Lonchura striata: one gene and its partners. The main gene of each other region encodes a partner of the protein of the gene in region 3 in a complex. Links are inferred from orthologs where the notes say so. Each region holds a gene or a part of one and is shown on either strand. Other genes may lie near its edges.

The links.
Region 1: LIN9 (region 3) and LIN54 share a complex: the UniProt entries of both Homo sapiens proteins name them as parts of the DREAM complex. The link is inferred for Lonchura striata from reciprocal best matches to the Homo sapiens genes LIN9 and LIN54.
Region 2: LIN9 (region 3) and TFDP2 share a complex: the UniProt entries of both Homo sapiens proteins name them as parts of the DREAM complex. The link is inferred for Lonchura striata from reciprocal best matches to the Homo sapiens genes LIN9 and TFDP2.

What each region holds. Positions count from the first base shown.
Region 1 is NC_134606.1:60,955,374-60,959,121, forward strand, and holds the start of LIN54 (protein lin-54 homolog), read right to left. Parts: upstream 2,464-3,748; 5' UTR 2,379-2,463; coding exon 2,345-2,378; intron 1,691-2,344; coding exon 963-1,690; intron 1-962. UniProt on the Homo sapiens protein: Component of the DREAM complex, a multiprotein complex that can both act as a transcription activator or repressor depending on the context. In G0 phase, the complex binds to more than 800 promoters and is required for repression of E2F target genes.
Region 2 is NC_134612.1:12,734,739-12,738,486, forward strand, and holds the start of TFDP2 (transcription factor Dp-2), read right to left. Parts: upstream 2,193-3,748; 5' UTR 2,017-2,192; intron 1-2,016. UniProt on the Homo sapiens protein: Can stimulate E2F-dependent transcription.
Region 3 is NC_134605.1:17,660,823-17,664,570, forward strand, and holds the start of LIN9 (protein lin-9 homolog), read right to left. Parts: upstream 2,222-3,748; coding exon 2,143-2,221; intron 1-2,142. UniProt on the Homo sapiens protein: Acts as a tumor suppressor. Inhibits DNA synthesis. Its ability to inhibit oncogenic transformation is mediated through its association with RB1. Plays a role in the expression of genes required for the G1/S transition.

The DNA of each region.
Region 1 (3,748 bases), on a different chromosome or scaffold from region 3:
AATGTTTCCAGATATGATGTAGCAACAAAAAAGGAGAATGAAATTAGTGCAGTAGAAATCATCTGCAACTTTAGAGAAAATATTGATCTTATTCACCTGCCATGAAATACTAATCAAGGAACATTTGGCTAATAAAATTCTTTAAACTTTGTCATTTTTATGTGCAGCTGATTATTTTTAATAGCATACTTAAGAGTTTAATTTCACATTTCATTTAGGCAGTAAAATAAATATTTTCCCATCATAATCTGCATTGAGTTCTAATTGTCTTTCACTTTAAGAAGTCTCATTTCTGCCTCACTACCAATAGAACAAAGTCACTCACATTTAGTTCTGCCACATAACAGATGAGAATCAGACTCTTTGAGTCATAACCCAAGTCTTTTCAACACATTTTCAGATCCAAGCAGATTCTCTGTGGTTTCAAATATCTCAAGATCCATGCCAGAGATTAGGAACCAAACCTTGAATGTTCAGCTTATGATAACTAGATTTGAAGCAGACCAGATACACCCTTCTGTTTTTTTACAGATGCTAGAAGTTTTTTCAGAGAGTTTATTTAAACAAACTGAACGTAATAGGCAGAAGGTACTCTTCCATAAAGGAGGGTATACTTTGAGTAAACAACAACAGGCATATAAAGTTGAATTCAGTCTTCCTGAGAGTATGTAGAATTTATTTTTATAAATGAAAATAATGATAAAATTATCTTCAATTTACTGAATAGTTCACTTTCTCTGAGGCAAACCCTAAGTTTCTAGACAGTAGCTAGAGGCAAACAGCATAAAATGGCAAACGCATCAACAGATGAAAGCATGGGCTAAGAGCAGCATTGTATTTTTTAATACAAAGAACAAATGCAAAGGCTGAAAGCAACAGTGTGTCAATCAGTGCAGGAAACAGACAACAATTGCAGCAACAGAACTGGTTTTAGGAAGTTTCATCAGCATAACTCATTTTACCTGTACTGTTTTTACTTGCTGGGACTGCAAGACAGAGGGCTGGGCCGCAGTGTTTATCAGCTGACTTCCCTGCGTCAAAGCTGAGACACCCACAACAGGTTTCACTTCCGACCGACCTCCAATGACAACTTTGATCTGCTGGCCTTGTACCTTGGACTCTCCACCCTGGGCTTGGGACACGGCCTTCTGCGACTGCGGGAGCTGGCTGTGGGGTAGTGCTAAAACAATGGGCTGGCCAGACTTGCCCAAAGTTGTTACAATCAGCTTTTGCCCATCTGGTTTAATACTCTGACTGCCTATTTTAATATCAGTGGCCTTGTTCAGAATAATCTGATTAGCTGAGATAGTGACAGGGGTCTGAGCACCAAGTTTATGGAGGCCACCTGGGAAGGCAGGCTTTACAGCTGCATTCACATCAGGGCTTGGGGCTGTGGTGGTCAGTGCTGTATCTCCTGAGTGGCTGCTGGGCACAGGGACCGATTCCGTGGTGACTGTGGCTGTAGTCGTGGCTGAGGAGTCGCTGGTGGAGTTTATGTTCACTATTTCTTCCAGTTCTGTTTCCATGGGAATAGACTCTCCCATTGGCGAAGACACAATAACAGCCTCAATGCTGTCATCTTCCACCAGAGTTATGCCAGTGTCCATGATTTCCTCAGGGAGCAAGCTGTTCACTTCTGCTGAAACCACCTCCATCTTAGTAGCTGTGGCAGTGATGGCCGGAGCAGGTACTGCAATATTTTAAAAAGTTATTGGCTTCCAGAAAACACATATTTTCAAAGCTTTATGAATAAAATTACCAAAGAAGAAAATACAGTCAATTTTTTTCAGACTGAAAGTATTGTGCATGCACAGGAGGGATATCATGGGAAAAAAAACTGTTAACAAAATATAACCTACTAGGCTGAATTGAGTCTTGGTAATAATTTATATCAAACCTTTACAACATCATTTGCTGAAGTAAAATAAAGGCATTACCACTCCACTCTTTACACCACAGTACACCAAGAAGCAGTGCTTCCCCCCTGAAAATATAGGCACAGACATTTAAACCCACTGAAATATAAAGCAAGAGATAAACAGCTTTTAAAAAATCAAATAGATGATGATGTTTTCTTATACATGCCAACACTGATTAGCAGGTTATCTTACTCAAGAGATTTATTATCCATACCAGATGTAGCATTATCACCAAATTTTCATTTTGGAAATCTCTGATAAAATCAAATGACTATTTAGTGATGGACTTGAACAACCCCAAAAGCTCAATCAACAGCCACCTACCACAGGATCAATCCAAAGCCCTGCCACTCACAAGATGAAGAGATAATCCCTTGATGCCAGCTATGAAAAGAGCTCAGTAATTTTTTTACTTCAATACTCACCAGAAAATTTATAACACACAAATTCATTATTCATTTTAAAGGTGTTCTAAAAACAAAACAAATAACACACTGTATGAAAAAAAAGGGATTTTTTTTTAAGATCACCCAAATTATATATTAAACAAACACCTGCAGCGAGATTCAAAGCCAGAGCCACTTCCACTTGAGAAAACCTAAAGACATTGCTGGAAATGGTGGAACTGTACCATTCCCTTAAGGTTGTATCAGTGTCAAGAGTCTGAAAACAGATCAGCTTAATAAGGCATTTTCTGCACTTGCTGACCCCATGAGCACACTTGGGCCCGGGACGGGTGAGCACACCATGTGGGTCTGCCTACATGCTCCTGAGTACTAATTATAAGCTCAAGGGGACAAAACCCTTGCAAATTCTGTTTCCTACTTGCTAGGAAAAGCAGAGCTGAGTTTTAATACTAATTCATGAGGAACCATGCCAGTGAAGACACCAACCAAATGCCCAAGTGACATTATTTCCTCTGGAGTCATTGTGGGCCCGTTTTGTACAGCAGCTAACTACCAAACAGCTGCATTTCACCCACAAGGTGGAAGGATTGGGGAAAAAAGCCCTGCTAGAATTACACAGTTTCCACACCGAGCTCCAGAGACTATGCTGGAACAGTCCTGGCCTCCCTGATTGCCAAGGGTGCCACTCTGACCCCCCTCACCTCAGAGTGCCAGCCAGACCAAACTGCCCTGACACTCAAGAAGCCTGAGCTCCAAAAGGACTGCACTGACAGTCAAACTCCCAGCTCCCTTATTGGCAGGCATTTAAAGATACAAAGTTATCTGATGTCACTGCCAAAAATACCTCCTATGGAAAGCATTTCTCCCCCAGTAATGCCTGCACAGTGATGCCAGCCCTGGTAAGCAGCCCTAGACAAAACAGCCAGCTCCAAGAGACACATTAGTAGTACTATCATATTGCTGCCTTAAAGTCAAATAGGTTAACTGCATAGATGATTACTCCAAAGTAGACTGTTTTTGAATACAGCATACGTTAAGGTCACTAGGCCTTCTTCTGAGCTGTGTCACTTGACTGTCACCTCAGCTACTTGAAAAGGCTTGCAGCTCAGATAGCAAAACTTCAAACTATTTCAGACACAAAAAAAATAAACCTCAAACCAAAGCATCATCTCGTTCTATACTGATATGCCCATAGGCCTTGGATCCAGAAGTTAGACTCCTAGTGTCAAGCACAATCCATGTAATAATTGCCTCCAAGTTTGAAAAGGAGAGAATAATCTAAATTGGACAGGGGGAAACCCACCTCACTCTGTAATTATAAATAGTTTTAAATAACTTGCTTTGTATTCCGTTTGTACATGTTTTTCCCAAGAAGAAAGGCCATTCTTAGCATCTTTTAACAGTATGATCATAAAATACTTA
Region 2 (3,748 bases), on a different chromosome or scaffold from region 3:
CTTCACTAAACCTGTAACAATTTTAGCCAAAGCTACTGAAAGATCCTCACTGGGAGGGTGCTCACAACTACTCAGGAAGTGTGTCCAGATGCACCAGAGGTCTCTACAGTGCTGTCCAACATGGACAAGAGTAGACAGAGGTAAGGAATTCTCTTGTGTTACTGACATCTCCTGCAGAACAGCACTGCTGCTGCCCAGCTGGGCTGCTTGGCCTGTGCGTTTTACACGGGAGAGCTGCTGCCAAGATGCTGTTCTGAAAACTGTACCTTCCCACTTTGTAAAGGCCACCAGTCAGAACCCTCTGCAGCAATCAAAGCATTCCTTTTACTGGTGTGTTTTCCATAAAATTAATTCTATTAAGATAGTACAAGTCAAATGGTTTCTTTTTGCTTTGCTGCAGTACTGATTTTTGTTCAAAGAGGAAGTGGTTAAAAGCCAAACAATTTGACAGTAATATAAGATCACTCTTAAATTTACCCATGAGGCAATCTTATTAATATTTAATAATTTTCTTTTTTTTCCCCCTAGGATAGAAGTAAATAATTTGACCTGTTACTCTGTCCTCTTCTAAAGGCACTAGACTCACTTCACAGTAAGAAACTTTTCAAAAGAAAACTTGACTTTTTTTTCCTTTTGACCACCTCTCCCACCAAGACTTTTCTATAACACAAATTTCTTCTTAGTCCTCCATGGTTTTTTCAAAGTGCTATATTTAACACCCTACACGTTAGTTTGAACAGAAGTTCCTGAAATTCAATACTTCACAGAGTAAAAAACACCAGTGAGTACACACAGCATTGGCATACATATGGGCTGTGAAACACAGTTCTGCATTTGCCCTGTAACATTGGTCCTCTCAGTCTTTGCCACACTTATAAAGATCCCTTTTTGTGTATTTTTTGTGTATGTATAATCAAAAGAACTGAAGTTAATTTGGGAAGGGTAAAGGAATAGAGAAAATGGAATTTATTTCTTTTTTAACAGCATCCATTTTTACCAGCATGTTATTTTTGAATCAAAGATTGTACCAAGTTGCAATTTGTTACAGCACCACACAACCTCCAACATTTTACTATCTTTTGTCAACATAATTAAGCTACATCAGTGATAGTAGTTGAAAAAAAAGTCACTGTGAGCCATATTAATGAAGAGTCAAAAAAATAATTGAACTGCTTTCAGAATTATGAAAACCGACCAAGAAATAATTTGTAAAAAATGTTTACCCAGCATACTACAGTATATCAATTAAAACTATTCATTTTCTCTGTCAAATCAAGAATTTACAGAGAAATTACAGAGAAAATGAAACCCAAAGTTTCATTTCATTTCAACCCTTTCTTCAGAGGAGAAACCTTTACTCAGTGAGAGAGAACGCTCTCATTTGCGGTTTTCTTCCACATTTCAAGGAAGTTTGCTTATTCCGTATTTTCCTCCTATTGTTTGTATTCTCAGCTCCAACAGACGGTGTTTACACTGGGTTCACCTCTGCCGCTGAGCCCTGTACCGCTGGAAGCCCGGGCAGGCCTGTAACTCCCAGGAAGAGGCAGGCAGGGAAGTTTTGTTGTTGTTGTGCCGGACTGACCCTCTCCCGGTAGGACCCGCGGGTGAGAACCGCCCCGACAAGAAGTCCGGGCGGCACGGAGCAGGGCCGGGAGCTCGGCCGGAGCCTCGCCGCTCCGGGCCGGGCCGCCGCTCGCCCCGCAGCCCGCACAGCCCCGCGCGGCCCGGCCCCGCCGCGCTCCCCACAATGGAGGAGGCGCCCCGGCTGTCACCGCCGCCCGGGCCCGCCCGCAGGTGTCGGGCCCCGGCTCCCACGCTGCCGGGGCGCCCGCCCGGCCTGAGGCACCGGGGGGACGCGGCGGGGGAGACCGCGCTGCCCGGGGCACCGGGGAGGGGGCGGCAGGGCCGGCGGGACCGCGCTGCCCGGGGCACGGGGGGCGGCGGCCGCTGATGGCTGAGGAAAGGGGCTGTCCTTCCCCCCACAGCCCCCCACACCCGCCCCCGCCCCCCGCTCACCCGCAGGACCGGCCAGGGACGAAAGGTAAGGCGGGCGGCAGCGCGGGCTGGGCCCAGACAGCAACGCTGAGGCGACGAGACGGCGACGGTCCCTTGGCAGCCGCCGCGGCAAGGAGCGATCGAGTCGCGCCGACGACGCCTCTCGGCCGGGCCGGCGCCGCGCACTCGCCGCTGGCGAGGAGGCCCCGGAGCCGGGACCCTCGGCGGCCCCGGTGCGTGGCGGCGGCAGCGCCCGCAGCGCCCCCGGCCCGGCCCGGCCCCGCCGCCCCCCCGCGCCCGCCCCGCGCCCAGCGCTGCCCGGTCCTGCTCCCCCGCACAAGCTTGGCGGCGTCTGCCGGCCGGGAGCGCCCATTGGCCGCCGCGCCGCGTGACGTCAGGCGCCCTCCCCGCGTCATTGGCCCGAACCCGTGTGTGTACACACACCGCCCGCCAATCCGCGGGAGCGGGGCCGGGGGGGCGGGGCGGAAGGGCGTGGCCGGCCGGGACCGACCGGGACCCGCGGCCGCCGCCTCTCCCCCGCGGCGCGCGCCGGCCGCTGTCAGGGCGCGGGTTCGATCCCCGCGACGGCTCCGGGCGGCCGCACCTGTCCCAGCGGCGCCCAGGTGCTGCGGGCGGTACGGAGCGTATAAATACACAAACCCATACATATTTATAGGCCTGTATTTACACACAGCGCGCGGCGCCGCGCTGGCTGCGGCCGCCGGCCGTGCCGCTTATCTGCGAGGAGCCGGTGGGGCTGCGTCCCGGGATGCAAAGTTCAGCCCCGCCGCGGGCGCCGCAGGAACGTCCGGCCTCGGCGCGGAGCCGGCGGCACACGGAGGCCAGGGCCGGTGCACCGTGCCCAGCCCCGCGCTCCCCCTGCGAACAAAGGCTCCCGGGCCCACAAAGCGCCGGCGGGGCCCGGAGCAGCGACCGCGCCCTCGCACCTCCGCCCTGCGAGACCCGGGACCCGCTCCCGCAAAAACCCGGACCCAGCTCGGCGCCTTGGAAAAGCCTTAAGTGCTTGATTTCAACATCCTTAACGCTGTAAAAAAACTGTTTCAACGAAGCAGGGTTACATATTCTTACAGAGACCATATAAATAGAAAGCACTCCTGGGAGCAAAAAAAATAAATTCGGCACTAGTTCCATTCAGCACAACGATGCAACATTTGTTAAGTCTTTCTCGAGTGCAGCCAGGCACACATCCAAGGCGTGCAGTTACCCATTTTGCATATTTCTCTAACACAAACGCAGCTTAATGCCACTGAGCAAGCTGAGCAGAACAAGGTTTATGGGGACACAAACACTATTATGTGCTTTAGATTCCTGCAAAACATACATGGTAAGCTTCTGTTTTTCTTGCATTACAAACATTAAATACTCTAGAAAGACATATTTTTGATCCTGTACCCTTCACTAAAAAGGGAAGTAACACCAAAAAACCAAGTGTTCAGCCTATAAAGTGGAGTTCCTAAATATCAGTCTAAGGAATATTAGCAATATTAGCAAACAAGACCTTTATATTTATTTCAATGGGGCAGTTTACAACCGAAAATCTTGCATGTGCCTAGGAATTTGCAGATTGTGGTTTTAGTTTATTTTCATCCTGTAAAAAACACTTCCATAACATGTAACAAAAACTTTTATCAATATTGTCAGTGTTATGCAAGATACATTCACAAAAGCAATAGAATTGGAGTCCCCTCTAACAGGTACGACCACAACCACTAATATGACACACGCCCTGACA
Region 3 (3,748 bases):
GTCAAAGTCAGCACAGCAGAAGTTTACTGCCTTTACAAATAACCACACAGTGTCTGCTTCACCTGCCAAGCAGAGCCTGTAACACTGACACAGCTGGCAAGGGTTGCCAGCATCGCCCAATCCTAAGGGAAACGGAGTCACACACTCTACTATGGTATCTGCTACAGGTGAAGTGACAGATCTGTCAAACCTTCCTGATGCCACTGCAGGCAATATAAAAATGACAGAGAAGAAAAAGTTATTTTTCATCATTACACTGACTTCTTGAAACATATCATGCTTTCTCTGGAAAATGGGCAAGGCAAATGGAGGAACGGTAACTTAAACATTGCCCATTCTAGTGAACAGGGAAAGTTCATTTAATAAGCAATAAACCACAGCTAATTATTAATTACAGTCGTATCAAGTGGCCCATGACTTGTATTAATCAGTCTCTAAATGGAGCACAGCATCCATGACTGAGCTGCGCTAAGTTGAGAATGTCAGCTCTGTCCATAATTTATGATGATCCTCCATAAATCTGTTCAGTTAACACAATGACACCGGCCATGTGGGCACATTAACCAATTTTTTTCCTGACAGTTGTTGGAGCTGTAACAAAGACTCGCATGGAGCAGCCAGAAGCAAGATTTCCACTCTGAGTCACTTCTCTCTGAGAATCTTTGGATGTGGAAGGACTTGGTAGCTTGATGAACTTGTGTGGTGTCACCAGAAGATGTCTGCCCTGTTCTGTGCACACCTATTGAAACTAGTAAATGCCCTAGTTTTAGCTTGGCAGTCCACAGTTTGTAAGAGATGTCATCTAGATGCATTTTATATGGAATAATTTCCTTTTCTGTAACACTCAAGTACTTTGTGCATGAATCCACACATACAGCAACATATATCTGGTTTTTAGCTACACTATGTTTTTATTAAATCCTTGCACTCTTTGAAAACAACATCCACACAAACCCTATGGAGATCACAGAATCAATGAGGTTAAAAAAGACCTCTGAGACCATGGAGTCCAGCTTTTAACCAAACACCATCATGTCAACTATACCACTGCACAAAATGCCACATCCAGTCTTTCCTTAAACACCTCCAGGGACAGTGACTCCACCACCTCCCTGGGCAGCCCATTCCAATGTCCAATCACCCTTTCACTGAAGAAATTCCTCCTAATGTTCAATCTAAACTTCCTCTGCTGAAGCTTGAGATTATGCCCTCTCGTTTGTTGCCTGGGACAAGAGGCCAATCCCCATCCAGCTACACTCTCCTTTCAGGAACTGTAGAGTGTGGTAAGGTCACTCCTGAGCCTCCTGTTCTCCAGGCTAAACACCCACAGCTCTCTCAGCTGCTCCTCATCAGACTCATGCTCCAGACCCTTCCCCAGGCTCCACTCCCCTTCTCTGGACTCTCTCCAGCACCTCCGTGTCCTTCTAGCAGTGAGGGGCCCCGAGCTGGACACAGCACTCGAGGTGCAGACATACAGAACTGTAGGCACGAAAACACATGTTTACATTCTGTCTTCCTGTACAGCCAGGTTCCTGCTGCTGACACACAACACAAGGTCTCTGAGCTGTTCCCTGCGCATTCACCAGTGCCCCCTAGACACAGTGTGTGCACGCCCTGACCCCCAGCCCTGCGGAGCTGCTCGCACCGTGCGCGGCACGGGCTACGAATACACGAGCCCTTCCTGCCCCCATGGGCGACAGCCAGGTCCGGAGCGCCGGGCAGCTCACGCTCCCCCGGGACAGGACGCTGCTTCCCCCGCACTGCCCCGACCCCCGCGGGCAGGGCGGGCTGTCACTGCGCCCCGCCCGGCTCCCGCTTCCCGCCCCGCCTGCCCGGCAGGTGCCGCCCGGGCGGGGCGGGGGCCCGGCCCCGGCACCCCCGAGGGCAGCGGGGGTCGCACCCTCGGCACGGAGCTCCCCGCCCGCCGCTCGGGCCGGGACCGCGCCCGGGAGGGGCGGCGGCGGGGGGGGGGGGGCCGGCCCGGCCCGGTTGCCAGGGAGGAGGCTCGGGCTCCGGCCCCGCACAGCGCCCGCGGCGGGAGGGAGGGAGCGAAGAAGGGAGGCGGGCGGGCGGCGGGGCGCGGCGCGGGTGTCCCGCCGGGACGAGGGGGCGGCGGGAGCGGGGGCGCCGGTCCCTACTCACTCTCGTCAGGCAGCTGATCCAGCTCCGCCATCTTGAACGAGCCGCGCCGCTTTTTCAAAGGCTGCCTGGCGCGGGGCATTCTGGGGGAGGAGACGGGGCCGGGCGCGCGGCGGGCGCGCGCGCGGGGCGGGGCCTGCGCCCGCGCGGGGCCGGGCGGCGGGGCCCGCGCGCCGCTCCCGGCAGCCGCGGCTCGGCAGCGCGGGAGGGAGCGCCGCCGGCCCGGGGCCCGCTAAGGACTCGGAGCGGACCTCACACTACTTCCAGTCGAGTTCCAGCTCCCTGCCACCGGCTCCCACTAGACCAGGTTGCTCAGAGCCCCATCCGAACTGGCTTTGAACGCCTCCAGGGCTGGGCTAGCCAGAGCTGCTCTGGGTAACCTGTTCCAGTACCTCACTGGAAAGACTTTTTTCCTAATACCTAATTTTCCCCTCTTTCAGTTGGTACCCATTACTCATGGTCCTGTCGCTACTGCAGCTCCTGACAGTCCCTGTCTGGCTTCCTTCAGATACTGGAAGGTCGCCATGAGGTCTTCACACAAACTTCTCCACGCCTGAAGAGCCCCAGCTTTCTCATCCTGTTGTCATAGGGTAGGTGCTCCAGTCCTCTTATCACCACCATGCTTCTCTAAATTTGCTGCAGCAGTTCCCTGTCGATTCTTACGATGCGGGATGGGGGGGAATGTGTGATTGGCAGTTCAGGATGGGAGGAAAGGGGTGGAGGTGTTGGCTGTCACAAAGGATCACCCCGAAGTAGCTGTGCTAGCTTTGAGTCTTTAAACAATCCCATTACATTATACCCATCCTCCTTCACTGAGTAATAACTTTTTGCTAAACTCTGCCAGTTTTCCTTGTTGCTTTTCATAAGTGACTGCTGAGGTGAGGCTCCAGGAGTCCGGGATCACAACAATCCCGGCCCAGCCAGCCCTGGCCCTGCTGTCACAGCCTGTGGCACCTCGCCCAAGAGGCGGCTGAAATGCTCACCGAGCCCAAGGCCTGAAGGTCAAGGTCTCACTTGTTCTCACCCGGTGCCAGGGAAAGCCAACAAACCACAGAAGTGGGTGGCTGTTGCCTAACAAGCTCCTTGTCTTGGCCTGCCCTCTACCATCACACCCCTGAAAGCTTTCTTCAAGCAGCAGCAGTGGGTTTTTTTGGTGTAGTTTTCTCAGATCTCTGCACTACAGTGAATTCTAAAGTATCAATAAATATAAGCATGGAAATACCATCATGAACCACAAGCACCTTAATTGCTCATGGACCACACTCTCCACATAGTTTGGCTTTGATAACACTATTATACCAACCAAAATTCCTTTTTTTAAGGTATAAAAATAAATGTAAAAATGCAAATTGAGCCTCAAAATAAATAAACAGTATATCTTAGTAAAGGCTAAATCTGTGTCACATGTTAAACATATTGCCAAGAGCACAGTGGTATAATACAAAATGGATGCTATGCCTCATTGTATGCAGGTCTTTGAAAGCACCTAGGTGAAACCAAAGATTCTACACAATACAGAAAATGTCTATCTTGTGACATGGAATAGAGTTTGTGTTCTTAATTTGCTAATGAACTCAGATGACTAGGCACTCTAGCAGGTTGACAGGGG